Rattus norvegicus: one gene and its partners. The protein of the gene in region 2 interacts with the protein of the main gene of each other region in a biochemical or structural test. Links are inferred from orthologs where the notes say so. Each region holds a gene or a part of one and is shown on either strand. Other genes may lie near its edges.

What was found.
Region 1: the proteins of Dlg4 (region 2) and Net1 interact in a biophysical measurement, tested with the Homo sapiens proteins (2 studies listed by IntAct, with this or other methods). The link is inferred for Rattus norvegicus from reciprocal best matches to the Homo sapiens genes DLG4 and NET1.
Region 3: the proteins of Dlg4 (region 2) and Ctnnd2 interact in a test that uses a peptide from one of them, tested with the Homo sapiens proteins (2 studies listed by IntAct, with this or other methods). The link is inferred for Rattus norvegicus from reciprocal best matches to the Homo sapiens genes DLG4 and CTNND2.

What each region holds. Positions count from the first base shown.
Region 1 is NC_086035.1:71,268,712-71,273,062, reverse strand, and holds the start of Net1 (neuroepithelial cell-transforming gene 1 protein), read right to left. Parts: upstream 2,831-4,351; 5' UTR 2,750-2,830; coding exon 2,657-2,749; intron 1-2,656. UniProt on the Homo sapiens protein: Acts as a guanine nucleotide exchange factor (GEF) for RhoA GTPase. May be involved in activation of the SAPK/JNK pathway Stimulates genotoxic stress-induced RHOB activity in breast cancer cells leading to their cell death.
Region 2 is NC_086028.1:55,238,291-55,242,583, reverse strand, and holds the start of Dlg4 (disks large homolog 4), read right to left. Parts: upstream 2,801-4,293; 5' UTR 2,745-2,800; coding exon 2,715-2,744; intron 1-2,714. UniProt on the Homo sapiens protein: Postsynaptic scaffolding protein that plays a critical role in synaptogenesis and synaptic plasticity by providing a platform for the postsynaptic clustering of crucial synaptic proteins.
Region 3 is NC_086020.1:83,596,455-83,600,049, reverse strand, and holds part of Ctnnd2 (catenin delta-2), read right to left. Parts: intron 2,631-3,595; coding exon 2,513-2,630; intron 1-2,512. UniProt on the Homo sapiens protein: Has a critical role in neuronal development, particularly in the formation and/or maintenance of dendritic spines and synapses. Involved in the regulation of Wnt signaling.

The DNA of each region.
Region 1 (4,351 bases), on a different chromosome or scaffold from region 2:
TGGGAAGCAAAACTTAAACTATAAACCACAATGAGCTGACCAAGAAGCCTTGAGACACGCAGTAAAATGGCAGATGCTGTCTGACGAGGGCACATGTGAGTGCCTCCAGCACACATCTGTGCAGACTGAGTGACACACCCGTGTGCAGGGGCAGCTTGGGGCATTCCTTTCCATTTAGTAAAGACAGCACAAAGCGTCTCCAGTGAATGGAGATAGAATTACCTCACGAAGCAAGCCTTGCAGCATGAACTAGACACAGAGCAGCTGCCTGACTCTTGTGCTTCGGAAACAGAGGTTGGCACCTCTTCCCTGTTCAAAGCACACAAGTTTCACTTCCCAGTAAATCACCAAATATTTAATATCCATTTGAAGGTCTTTAGAAAGGTGCACTGCCCAGTGAGTTAGAAAGTAAAAGTCAGGGTACCTAATATAGTGTGTACACTTGGCAGGTTAAACCGAGGCTTGGCAACAGTTCCAGGCCAGCCTGATCTAGCCTGGGCTACCCAGTGTGAGTTGAGAAAAGCAAAACCAAACCAAACCAAAAACTAAACTAAACCAAACCAAAATATACAAACAAAAATGGCTAACATGATAGCCGTTGGGAACTCCTTTTCAAATAATGAAAAAGGTAAAATGGCCTACTGTCAGTTTCAGGATACAGACAATGTAGAAGAAAAGATCATACTTTTCTTTTTGGCGGAGAAGTGAAACGGATTAGGCACTCAAGAGTCAGCAAAAAGGTAGGAGCAAAATCTGTTTCTTTGAGAATGTGCCTTACAATGTGAGCTATGTAAATTATAAGCAAAAGTGGTCCTTCTACAGGTCCAAGCGAACCACCCAGCTATCTGATGTACTATCTGATGTACTGAGGACATGAGCATCTGTATCATAAGGCTGTTGTTATACCCACATGCACCTCTCCTGGACAGGACTCAGTAGTGATATTTGGAGGTGATGAAAGTCCGCCCCACACTCCCCCGAAGGCTCCCCTCCCCCCTAGTACCCCCTCCCCTGCCCCCACCATGCCAGGCCCAGCTTAATTCTGTAATGGTGGCAGGGGTGATTTGCTTAGAGTCCCTCCTAAAGACAAGCAGCAGATCTGGGAGAATAAACAACGAGTGCTAACAAGGCTCACCCTCAAGGAGCTTCCATTGCAGGGTGATGAGGGTCAGGGTTCACTTGGAAGGGGAAAGCCGCTCAGGAGGCTCTGCTGTTTGCTGAGTTAATCTTTAATCAGACTACGCGTCCATCACATGAGGGAATGAATCTGCCTAGCCCTGGGCTTCTCATGGTTCACCCCCACTAACTCTGTGTCCTAGGACATTGCCAGAGTATCTATAAGCAGAGTTAAGTCTACCTTAAAGCTTTACTGGGATGTATCTTATTGATAAACCCAGCAGCTGGATGAAACCCTTGGGGGAATTTAGCTTTTTGTAGCTTTTTTCCCCTAATGATGTCATTCACTACAGGGCATATTGTAGAGTCAATCGAATCATGGTACTTTTTTTTTTTTATTCCTTTTGGATTGCTCATATATAATCTCTCACTTGGCAACAACTTTAAAAACAGGAAAACAAGAATAAAAAAAGTTTTTTTTCCCTTGAGAAAGATAAAGACGAGTTTTGATCACCAAGTATTCTCTTCTTTTACACTCAGGTCATTAGGGCTGTGTTACCAGTTCTGAAGCCAGGACTCCGTTCCTGGTTATTTGAATGCTCCAAGTAAAGGGACCAGGAAAACAGCCCATGTCTCATACTAACAAAAATGCACATCCTTGATGGCCTAAGAGATAGCTCCTTTGGGTATTTTCACTCACAGAATTGTATGAAGAAGCATTCTCTACCCAGACAATGCTTATTCATTTTATAACATGTAAGAAAAGTGAACCCAAACAAATAACAGAATTCAGTATCAACCCCCACACAAAGATGGCAGCCTATGCATGTAGAACAAACATTCCCTGAGGCATGTGATTAAACTGCTCATGTTTAATTAAAATGGACAATTACATATGTCTCCCCTTCCCCCCCAAAATCACCACTATCAAAAGATCTGGTAGGCTGAAACCATAACCATTTCTACCACGGAAGCGACCAGGCAGCAGGACACACCTCTGCACCAAACAACTCACAAATTACATAAAATTTCATAAAATAATTTTTTCATAAATGTTTATAAAGATTTGAGAAAGCCAAAACGACTTCAAGCAAAGCCAGGCAGGCAGAGGGTGAGTGTTCTGAACTCAAACCTCCCTTCGGAGGAAAAGAGGGCAAGCTTAAGTATGGGGAAAGCAAAGTGAACACGTATCCCAGGTCGGACTTTACTCACTTGTTCTTATTTCTCCTTCCTCCCTTAAACAGTCCACAAGACTTAGTAACAGCAGTTAGAAAAAAACCACAACCATACCGAACACGAGAAACGTTTACTCAGAGACTCAAATATATTTAAAATCGCCTTTGTATGTAACTTTTCAAAATTTAGCTATGCTATATAAAAAAATTTGCTTAAACTTAGACCACAGTTCCTAAACACATTTCAGCCTTGCTTATAATAGTTATACATTTTAGGACGTAATACGGTTAAAAGTTTAAAAGTGAAGTTGCAAAGTCTTAGAAGTTCTGCGGAGTTGGAAAACATTCCTTTGGTCTGCTCTTACCTCCTGCTCCCTGAAGGGCTGGTTATTAACATCTAAGACCCGGATCGTCCTTTTAATGGGCAGGAGACCTCCGATCTCATCATGCGCCACCATGCTTTACAAGTGTCCCTTCAAGTCTTTCGGGTTAGTCCACATGCGAGTCAGCCCTGCAGGGCAACACCGCCAAGACGCCGGGCTTTTCTTCTGAGTGCTCAGCCTGGCCTGGCAGCCATGCGCCCATGCCTCCCGCTCGCGGTGGAGCGCTGTGCTTCTGCAAAGGCAGCGAGCACGCACGCAGACCTCAGGAGCCCGGGGCGGGGCCAGGACCCACGTGACTCCCGATAACAGCCGAGGGGCGCACCTAGGCTGCTCCGTAGCTGTGAGCAGCGTCTGTCCCTCTCAATAAAAAAAGCACTGGAACTTGCACTGCAAGAGCTGAAGCCCACAGGAGGCTGAGTGAACGCCAGGGGAACACACCTCAGTTGCTTCTCTAGCACTTAGTTACAGATCCTTTTCTCTAAAATTAGTGCCTTGGAGAGGACTGAGTATGGGATAAAAACAGCAAAGACTTCTTCTGGGTTAAAAAATTATGTAGTGGGGCTAGGGATTTAGCTCAGTGGTAGAGCGCTTACCTAGGAAGCGCAAGGCCCTGGGTTCGGTCCCCAGCTCCAAAAAAAAAAAAAATTATGTAGTAAAAAGAGCCCAGTTAAGCACATCGGCTTAAGCACAGCTGCAAAATTACCTACCTCTTAAAACAAGGTTCCTATCGGGGCAGAGGGTGGGGGAGACAGAGGAGTAACGGGGAGAGGCATAAGTGAAAATGTCACAGTAAATCTGTTACTTTGTGCACTGAAAAACTAAAGTAGTTACTGCTTCCCTCCCCACCTTTTACAAAAAATTCGAGGACTGACGGAAGCACAGTGGCATCTTCAGTTCACTCTATTCTGGACTGCCCTGTCCTGGGCAAAGCTAGCCTGCGCTAGTTCAAATTTTTAGGCTCAGTATGCTGGTCACCAGACATTTCTGTTTTAAAAAATTAACAATTCACAATTTGGTGTGAGACATTTTATGCCATAAAAACACACATCAGGATCCTTCCCTAAACTTATCTTGATGTGGTCTTAACGGGGTCAACGACCTGCATACAGAACGTTGCATTTTATAGGGGAAGAACAAGCCCACCCCCCAGGGAAAGTCACCCAGGAGGCAAGTTGCTGACTTTGCAAAAACGTTCCTTTATGGAAAGGCATTATTTCTCCAGATAGGACCTGAGATAAATGGAACTCCCTCCTGTGTGTTCTGCACAGTAGGTCCATCTTAACAGTGTGCTGATATGAGATGCTGGTAAACTGCAAGGCTATTGTGAAGTATTTACAAGCATAAACTAAGCCCTGTATGGAAAAGGCACAACTGTAGATACTTGGCTGATAAAATGTAGGCTTATAGCCGAGATCCTAGTGTGTAATGGCAGGCTATATGGGGAGGCAGGGAAAAGGAAGCTTTTGCAAGTTCCAAGTAAGCTGTGCAGCTAGCTAGCAAGTGCCACTCGGGGCCACCCTCCCGCCTGACACAGGGACAAGTCTAAAGGCGGTGATTCCCTGGGCCTCCGATGCCTCTTGCTTCACAGGATTGAGTAAGAAGCACAAGGATGAGGAGACAGACTCCTACAAGGCCGCAGGCTGTCGACAGTGCAGACGCCTGTTGCTAATGTGGGGT
Region 2 (4,293 bases):
AAGCCGACTCCGCCCACTTGCTCCATGAAACCACGCCTCCCTCCGCTTCCCGCCCATTCGCTCCCCCGGCCTCGCCCACACTACCCTTCCGCCACGCCCCTGCCGACCAATGAATGAAGCTATTGGACACATTGCCCCGCCCACAGCATCTTAGCTTTGCCCAATAAGGACCACCCAGAGGGCTTAACCACTTCGCCTCCAGGGCCCTGGCCAAATGCCCCCTATTTCTTCCCTACTTTCCCCCCAGCCTCCATTTGTTCTGCTCCGCCCTCCACCACCCTCGCCCTGCCCTCAAGTACGCCACGCAACTTCAGTCGTCGCTGGTTACCATGACAACTGCGGCAGCAGCGCGGGGAGAAGGGGGAGGGACGGGGGCGGAGTGGGAGAAAGCTGCTCAGAGATAGAGATACTGGCAGAGATCTAGGTACCGAATAAGACTCAGTGATAGCTGTAAAGCAGAGTTTCCACGGAGTACAGAGCTGAACATATATTAAGTATTCAAAAATGTTCCTTAAATTACTGCAGCAATTTATAAATATAGGCAACGAAAAATGGGAAGGCTGTCAAACAGACCAGGAGAGCTCAGTGACTACAAAGGCTGAGCACTCCCAATCCCACTCCCCAGCATTTTCGGAGGGCAGAAGCCATGTGCCCCCTGCTGGTTTCTCCTGGGCCACCCTCAACTGGCCTGGATAGAGAGGAACCACAACTCCCAACAGTCCTGTGGACCACGACGCTCTACTATTGAAGGATCTTGTACCTCAAGGCCTTATGGGAGTTGGAGTCCCTCCATCTAAGGCTGACAAGTTTTCTGACCAATGAATGTTGCAAACATGGGTCTCCAAACCTCAGTAAGACCTGAATACATGATCCTCTAGGCAAGCCTCCTACCTTCAGGGTTGCTCAATCATGTGTTCCATCGAACACATTGAAAACTGGAGCAGAGAAATGAATAGACACATCCACTCAGAATAGCTACCAGTGCTACTAAGCCCCTCACCCTTATTGGATTTCATGTGTTCATGTTAGAAGGAGAACTCACACATTCCAATGAGTTCCTATATACATCAGTACAAAGGTGATGACAGCTAGGTTGCCAAGGCCAGGGATTAGGCCTAAGGACAGAAGGCACAAAGAACACAGGCAGACACTGACTGAAAGAGGGCTAGAAGAACCGAGGCACAAAAATCTACTGAAAACTACGGGGGATAAGAGAAGCAGCAGCCTGGAAGAAAGCCCAAAATCCACAGACCAGGAGAAAAACAACCAGCCCTGTAGATGGGGTAAAGGATGCAGACCTGAAATCTTCAGTCCCCAATCTCTAATCATGTTCACACGTGCACAATGCATGTGTATACACATGTGTGAGTTTGTGGCAAGGAACATGTGTGTCCTCAGCTTCCTTCCATAAGAAGCTGCAGTTCCCACTAAATATAACCCCCTCCCCAGCCTGTGACTCACCCGGACCCCGCCTCCCCCGGCCCCCACTTCCTGTCCCACCCCCCAACCCCCAGCTGCCTGCCGCCCGCCCAAGCCTCCCTCCTCACACCAGGCATCTAGCCTGCCAGTCCCAGAGTCTGGGAGCAAGCGACCGACCTAAGCTTCTTGGGCTTTCATCCCAGATCTCCCACTCTTTCCAGGCTCTGACCACAGGGACACCCTTGTACCCTGTATGGATCCCAGTTCCGCCAGCCCTGCCCTCTTTCTATACCGTTTTACCCCAGTGGCCTCTTCACCTCACAAGCCTTCAGAGACCCTTAGATCCAGGTGTCCTCTCAAGCGTCAGGGTAACAGCCCCCCTCCCCATCTGCTATTCTGTTCTCTTGACCAAGGCTAGATAAAATGTGGGAGATGGGAATAGTGGGCACCTGCCTGGGCTACCCCCAAATTTTGTACCACCCACATGGTCCCCCTCCTCAACTACCTTCTTTTTATCCTCCTACCCCACACCTCTCATCCTTCTTACGAGATGACAACCTCAGCTTTGCAACCTTCTAGCTCCCATGGGAGTACCCTGAATCCTAATCCCACCTGGTCCATTCTCTCAGGTAAGGCTGCATCAGGCCTCAGCCCTCTGGAAACTCCCAGGTCACTCACTCTATTCCACATAATTAAACCCTAAATGTACAATTCCCTCAAATCAGGAGCATCTCAAACATGTCTAGCACAAGATGTTTTATTACCTGAAGGCCCACCCTTACCTGCTAGTTGACACAGCCAGACAAGCCAGACACAACCAGTAACCTTTACCCTTATGCCAAGAGACACCCCCCCAAAATTGGTCAATTGGTCAGCATCTTGAAATGAGCTTTTTTGCCCAGGAAGGAAGACAACCCTCCCCCTAACACACTCACATAGCCCACCTTCCCACATATATGAGCAGAACTCCCATGTGAGGCAGGCGGGCTTCTCCTTAAATAAATTGCCCTCAAAACACTGCTGATGAACACCAGAGCCCACCAAGACACCCCAAACACCAAATCAAATTCTCCATTTCTTTATAGGTACAAAATGATCACTCCAGGAGGCACCTGTGGACCAAATCCATCGTTTTCTCAGATGTGAACCCCAAAACTAAATTGTGACCCCTCTAATACATCTTACTTTAGATGCGCTCACTTCAGTGCCTGCAACCCTAGATAAGGCCTACCTAAGCCTTCTCCACAAATTCATTACCTACTCCCCCTCCCCACTGCTCCCCCCATCATGCTTACCTTGGTTGTCACTATACAGAGACAGTCCATGTTGGGGGGCCTGGCCGCGGCGGCGAGTAGGGGGCTCTGACTTCATTGGAGTTTTGTTCCTCCCCTCGGTGGGTTCTCACCCCTCCCCCCTCCGCACCCCACTTTTGCAGGGGGGGCCAGGATGGGGGGAGGGGTGAGAGGGGAAGGAGAAGGTTGGAGAAGAGAAGGGTAGGGGAGCGTGGAAGGGAGGGGGGACCCTAAAGGGGGCTCCCCAGTGGAGGGGAGGGGGCTTGAGGAGCACACCCCGATTCTCAGGAGGGGCAGGGGCACAGGGGGCTGGCAGCCCCGGAGTTCTGGGGCTGGGGCATGAGCTGGGGTGGGGGAGGGGATCTGGATTTCGGGAAGCCCCGGGGTATGCGGGGGTCTTGCCAAACGGCCAGGGGCTAGGGGCCGTGGCGGGGGAGTGGGGTGGGGGGGGTTGGAGATGGCAGCGGCCGATGTAGCCGCGGAGCCGAGGAGGGAAGGGGAGAGAGGAGGAGAGAGGAAGCAGGGGGAGGGAGGGAGGGAGCTAGGAGCCAGAATGGGGGGGTGCCTTGGCAGTGTTAACTCCTTCACTGCTGGCAGGAACCCGGATAATGGGAAAGGAGATAGAAGCACAAGCAGAGAGGCCCTACGGCAAACATGGAGACCTGGCTAACCTCGATGATGACATTAAAGACGAGGACGGATTTCATTCCTTAGAGGGAAAAGGCCCACATCTGAGATGAGAGCATCCCTGGCTGGTTGAGTGCTGGAGGGAGGCCACACCACGGGGTACGGGGCTGAGGGAGGGGCTAACATTAGAGAACCTTGGGGACCTAGTTCTCCCCTAGGAGTCACAGGAAGAAGTCTGAAAAGTAATTAATTATGACCTGGACTTTCTGGTGCTGAAATTGGGGCAAGCCAAGAAAGGGGAGAACGGAGAAAGGGTACAGGGCTGGCTGCCCACAGAAAGAGCACTGTCAGTGCCCCCGACTCCTCAGTCAGTACTAGGGATTTTGTTGCCAAGGCCCCTAAGTCTCAGTTTAAAATTAGCAAGAACGTCCTCATCCCTCCAGTCCTGCCAGCTTGAGCAGTCAGGAAGCCAGGCACCCACCATCATCACCTTACCTGACTCTCTAAGATGCAAGCCTCATAATAGTCCAGGATGTCTGTCACAGGAACAGAATTAAGTCACCTCCCAAACCTCAGGCCCCTCTGGCCACCCCTGCTACCCATGGCTCTGTGTGTTGAGAGACAAGTTCCTCTAGCTAGGATGGATGCTGCTGGGACACAGTGGGATGACCACAAAAGCAAGAGCCTGGACTAGGGGCTCTGCAGGATTCCAACCAGCCTAGAACCTATAACAGGTGACCCCATACCGCAGGCCAGCCCTTTCCATTGTGGCCCCTCAGAACACTAGCATTACTCACCCAGCAAGGCCTGGAAGAGGTCACTGTGCAGCACTGTGAGGAGGGGAGGTGCCCACCGCAATAGTGGCGGGGCCAGGAGCCAGAGGGCTGACCTGGGAGCTGGTAAAAAGCAAGTGACAAAGGATGGAGACCAAGCCACTCACATACTTAATCATCTA
Region 3 (3,595 bases), on a different chromosome or scaffold from region 2:
TGGACTAGGCCAGTGTTCACAGAACCATATTGTCAGAAGATACCTTGAACACAAATCTTCAGGGCGACAGGCTTAGACACTAGTACTTTTTTTTTTTAATTTCTTGGTAATCGTTATGCACAGTCAAGGTTAAGAAGGGCTAGATTTAATTCACCCATAAAGGTGATCAATTGGTAAGCCTATTGCAGTGTTATTTAAAATTTATGTTTATTTTACACACATGATTGTTTTGCTTGCCAGTAAGCATGTGTACCATGTGTGTGCCTGGAGCTGAGTGCCCAGAAGGGGCATTGGACCCTTTGGAGCTCGAGTGCAAGGCAGTTATGAGCTGCAGTGTGAGATCTGTAAACTGAACTCTGCAAGAGCAGTAAGTGCTCTTAACTGTCAAGCCACTTCTCCAGCCCTAAATGACTGTTCCTTTGTTATTGTTTTTGAGACTGGGTTTCACTTAGCTCAGGCTCATACTTCATTCAGTGTGGCCGAGGATAGCCTTGAACTTGTGATCTTCAAGCCTTTAATTCTGGGTGAGTGCCACCGCATCCATTGTATGAGGTGCTGGGGCTCGAGCACAGGGCATCCCACCAGGACTGTAAGGAAGCACCATGAAAACTGAGCCCCTGACATTTGTCTTCCATCTGACTTTATAGCTACATGAGCTTATGCAGGCCTCCTAAGTGGTCTATTTCAAAGCTCCATCCATCCAGGCAGGATTTTAAGCCATAATACCAACAGACCACAATTCACTTCTCAAGGGCCAATTACTTGTGGCCAAGGTTGGGTGTTTAGATTTGAAGGGTGGCAATGGGGCCCCAGTGGGGGTAATAAGATTCCAGCAGGCATCTTCATCAGTTGTTTCAAAGGTAATTCTGAGGCAGAGTTAGTGCTGGAAACCATGGGATCACGGGAAGCGTTCACAGCCATGCCATCCAAGTTCCTTTTAGGACATGTTCCGAGCTTGGAGACACTGTTGTTTGGTGTTATGGATTCCTGAAGAGAATATGTCTGCAGGGACTGACTGACTAAAACCTCTGTGACTGCAGACTGTTTGGAGTTTCACAGGTCCAGAGGCTCTACAATTTATTATGGGTGATCTTTAACCTATTAAATAATCATGCTTTACCTTCTCGGCCCCTCAGACCATCAGACCTAAGATCCCTTCCTAGCCAGGCTCTTGGATTTGGAATATACTAACAGAACTCTAGTTTTCTATCAAAGAAAGGGCTAAGAGTGCTGTCAGACAGCATTCAGGACATAAAATAAAGTAAACCACCTCCTCTGATTTTCCTACCAATGTATTTTTAATAAGTCCTGTTTTATAATTTTTCTGTATTTTACTACCTTAAAAGCTTCATAAAACTCCCTGTGACCAATCCCTTAAAGAAAACCAAGTCCTTTCTCATCCAGTGAGAATTGGGGTAACAGGAACTAGACTTTTTCCTTCTTCTTTTTTGGAGGGAAGTGTAGGCCTCAAGGGCGGAGGGGTGGACCTGGGAGGACTGAGGAGTATAATTATGGTTTATGATGCGAAATTCCCAAATAACTGGTAAAAAATATTGTGAAAAGAAAAAAAAAACTCCATGAAACTAGTTCCATGTCAAAAAATTGGAATTTGGAGTAATCTAAATCCATGCTCCCAGACCACGGCCACTCAAATCAGGCTCCATGGTAAACTCTGTCTTATCCCCTTTGAGTTGAGAGCTGTGGTGGATGGGTGTAAGGAAAACTATTGGTATTGAGTGGATGGAGAGACCAGAGAGTGTGCTTAACAAGCTCAATCCACACGCTCACAACATAGGCTTACTCTGCTCCAGATGTCTGTAACAGCAACTCCAGAGTAGCTCTTATTAAAGAGGGACAGTGTGTGCATATATTATTTTTAAAAGTATAGGTGACATATAGCTTTATATCAGGATTACTATAAGATTTCATTTTTCTAGCTGTTAATTAAACTAATTTGATAAAGACAAAACAAAATATCTCAAATACTGGGGAAGACAACCAATACCTAATTCTATTTCGGTCTATGAACTAAACACAGTACAGTGGCTTTGAGCCATAGCATGCTGGGAGCTTTGATTAAACAGTTTGAAAATCTAGGAAGGATTTTGTAAGATTTTAAAACATCTTTTAATATAATGAGTTATCAAATCTAAGAGAATTTTTGTCTTTAAAAGTATATATATATACTTTTAAATAATATATATATGTATATATATATATGTATATATATATATGAGATATGTGATAACTTATACTCGTCCTGGACACCAGTGATTTGAGTTAATTACACCAGTCTGAATTTTCACTAACTGCTGGTGGAAAATTCAAGTATTCAAGTGCTGGACCTCAGCTACCATGACCATACCTTTAGACAATGGTGGAGGTTATCAGGATAGAGCTCAGAATGCAAGCATGAAATACCGTGGTTGCTTCCCACAGCTCCTAGCATTTGTTTAATCTCTGGGGTTCCTTTAATCACTCAAAAAGATGAAGCTATGCAAACACCACCAACCTTGCTATCGATCTCACTGCTCCCCAGTGCAGACTGAATCACGTACAGCAAGGCATCCGTGAGCCCATCACACTCCCGCATTCTGCGGCGGGCCTCCTCTCCAGCTGAACTTACATTCCTGAAAAGCAAATGAACATGTCAGGGATCGTCACTGTGGTCTCCAAGAGAATACCCTTTCTTATATAAGGAAGCTTGTTTCCTTTCTTCAGTCTTCAATGAGGGTGTAGCTTTAATGAGTGAATGTGATTGCAGGAAACATATATCCAGCTAAGTCGTAAGCATCTACTGCAAATAGAGAATGCAGAATTCCCAAAGTGGTGTGTCAGAGTTCCAGAACTCTTGATAATTAGAAATTTCTAGGAATTCCAGAGATTTGCCTCATTTACAATTGAAGAAGTGATCAGGAACTTTTAAAACATTCTTCTGTAAGAAGTCTCAAGTATTTTCACAGACAGAGCTTCCAACTTACCAAATATTTTAGAGACTTTTTTTTCTGCCCTAAACATATACCTTCCATGGCCATGCTGGAAGTATATTTGTAGCAATTCATTTTAGGGCTATCATGTTTCTGTGTCATTGGAATGTCTCTGACATCGCCCATAGGCAGGAGATAGACCATACTCTTTCCCATCTTGCATATCCCGAGCTAAAGGCAACAGAAGGAACCTGACATAATACCTTAAATAGTTATGACACAGATGTGCATTCCTTTAACTCTATAACAGACACGTGATGATGTCCTAGTAGATGGAGAATCTCTGGCATGTGTAAGAGAGAATCCTTGGAGCACTTTAGTTATTCTGTCACTTAAGAATGTTCTTGCTAAATACAGAGGCGAATGCCAGCAGCAAACCACTGAACTGAGAATAGGTCCCCCGTTGAAGGAATCAGAGAAAGAACTGGAAGAGCTTGAAGGGGCTCGAGACCCCATATGTACAACAATGCCAAGCAATCAGAGCTTCCAGGGACTAAGCCACTACCTAAAGACTATACATGGACTGACCCTGGACTCTGACCCCATAGGTAGCAATAAATATCCTAGTAAGAGCACCAGTGGAAGGGGAAGCCCTGGGTCCTGCTAAG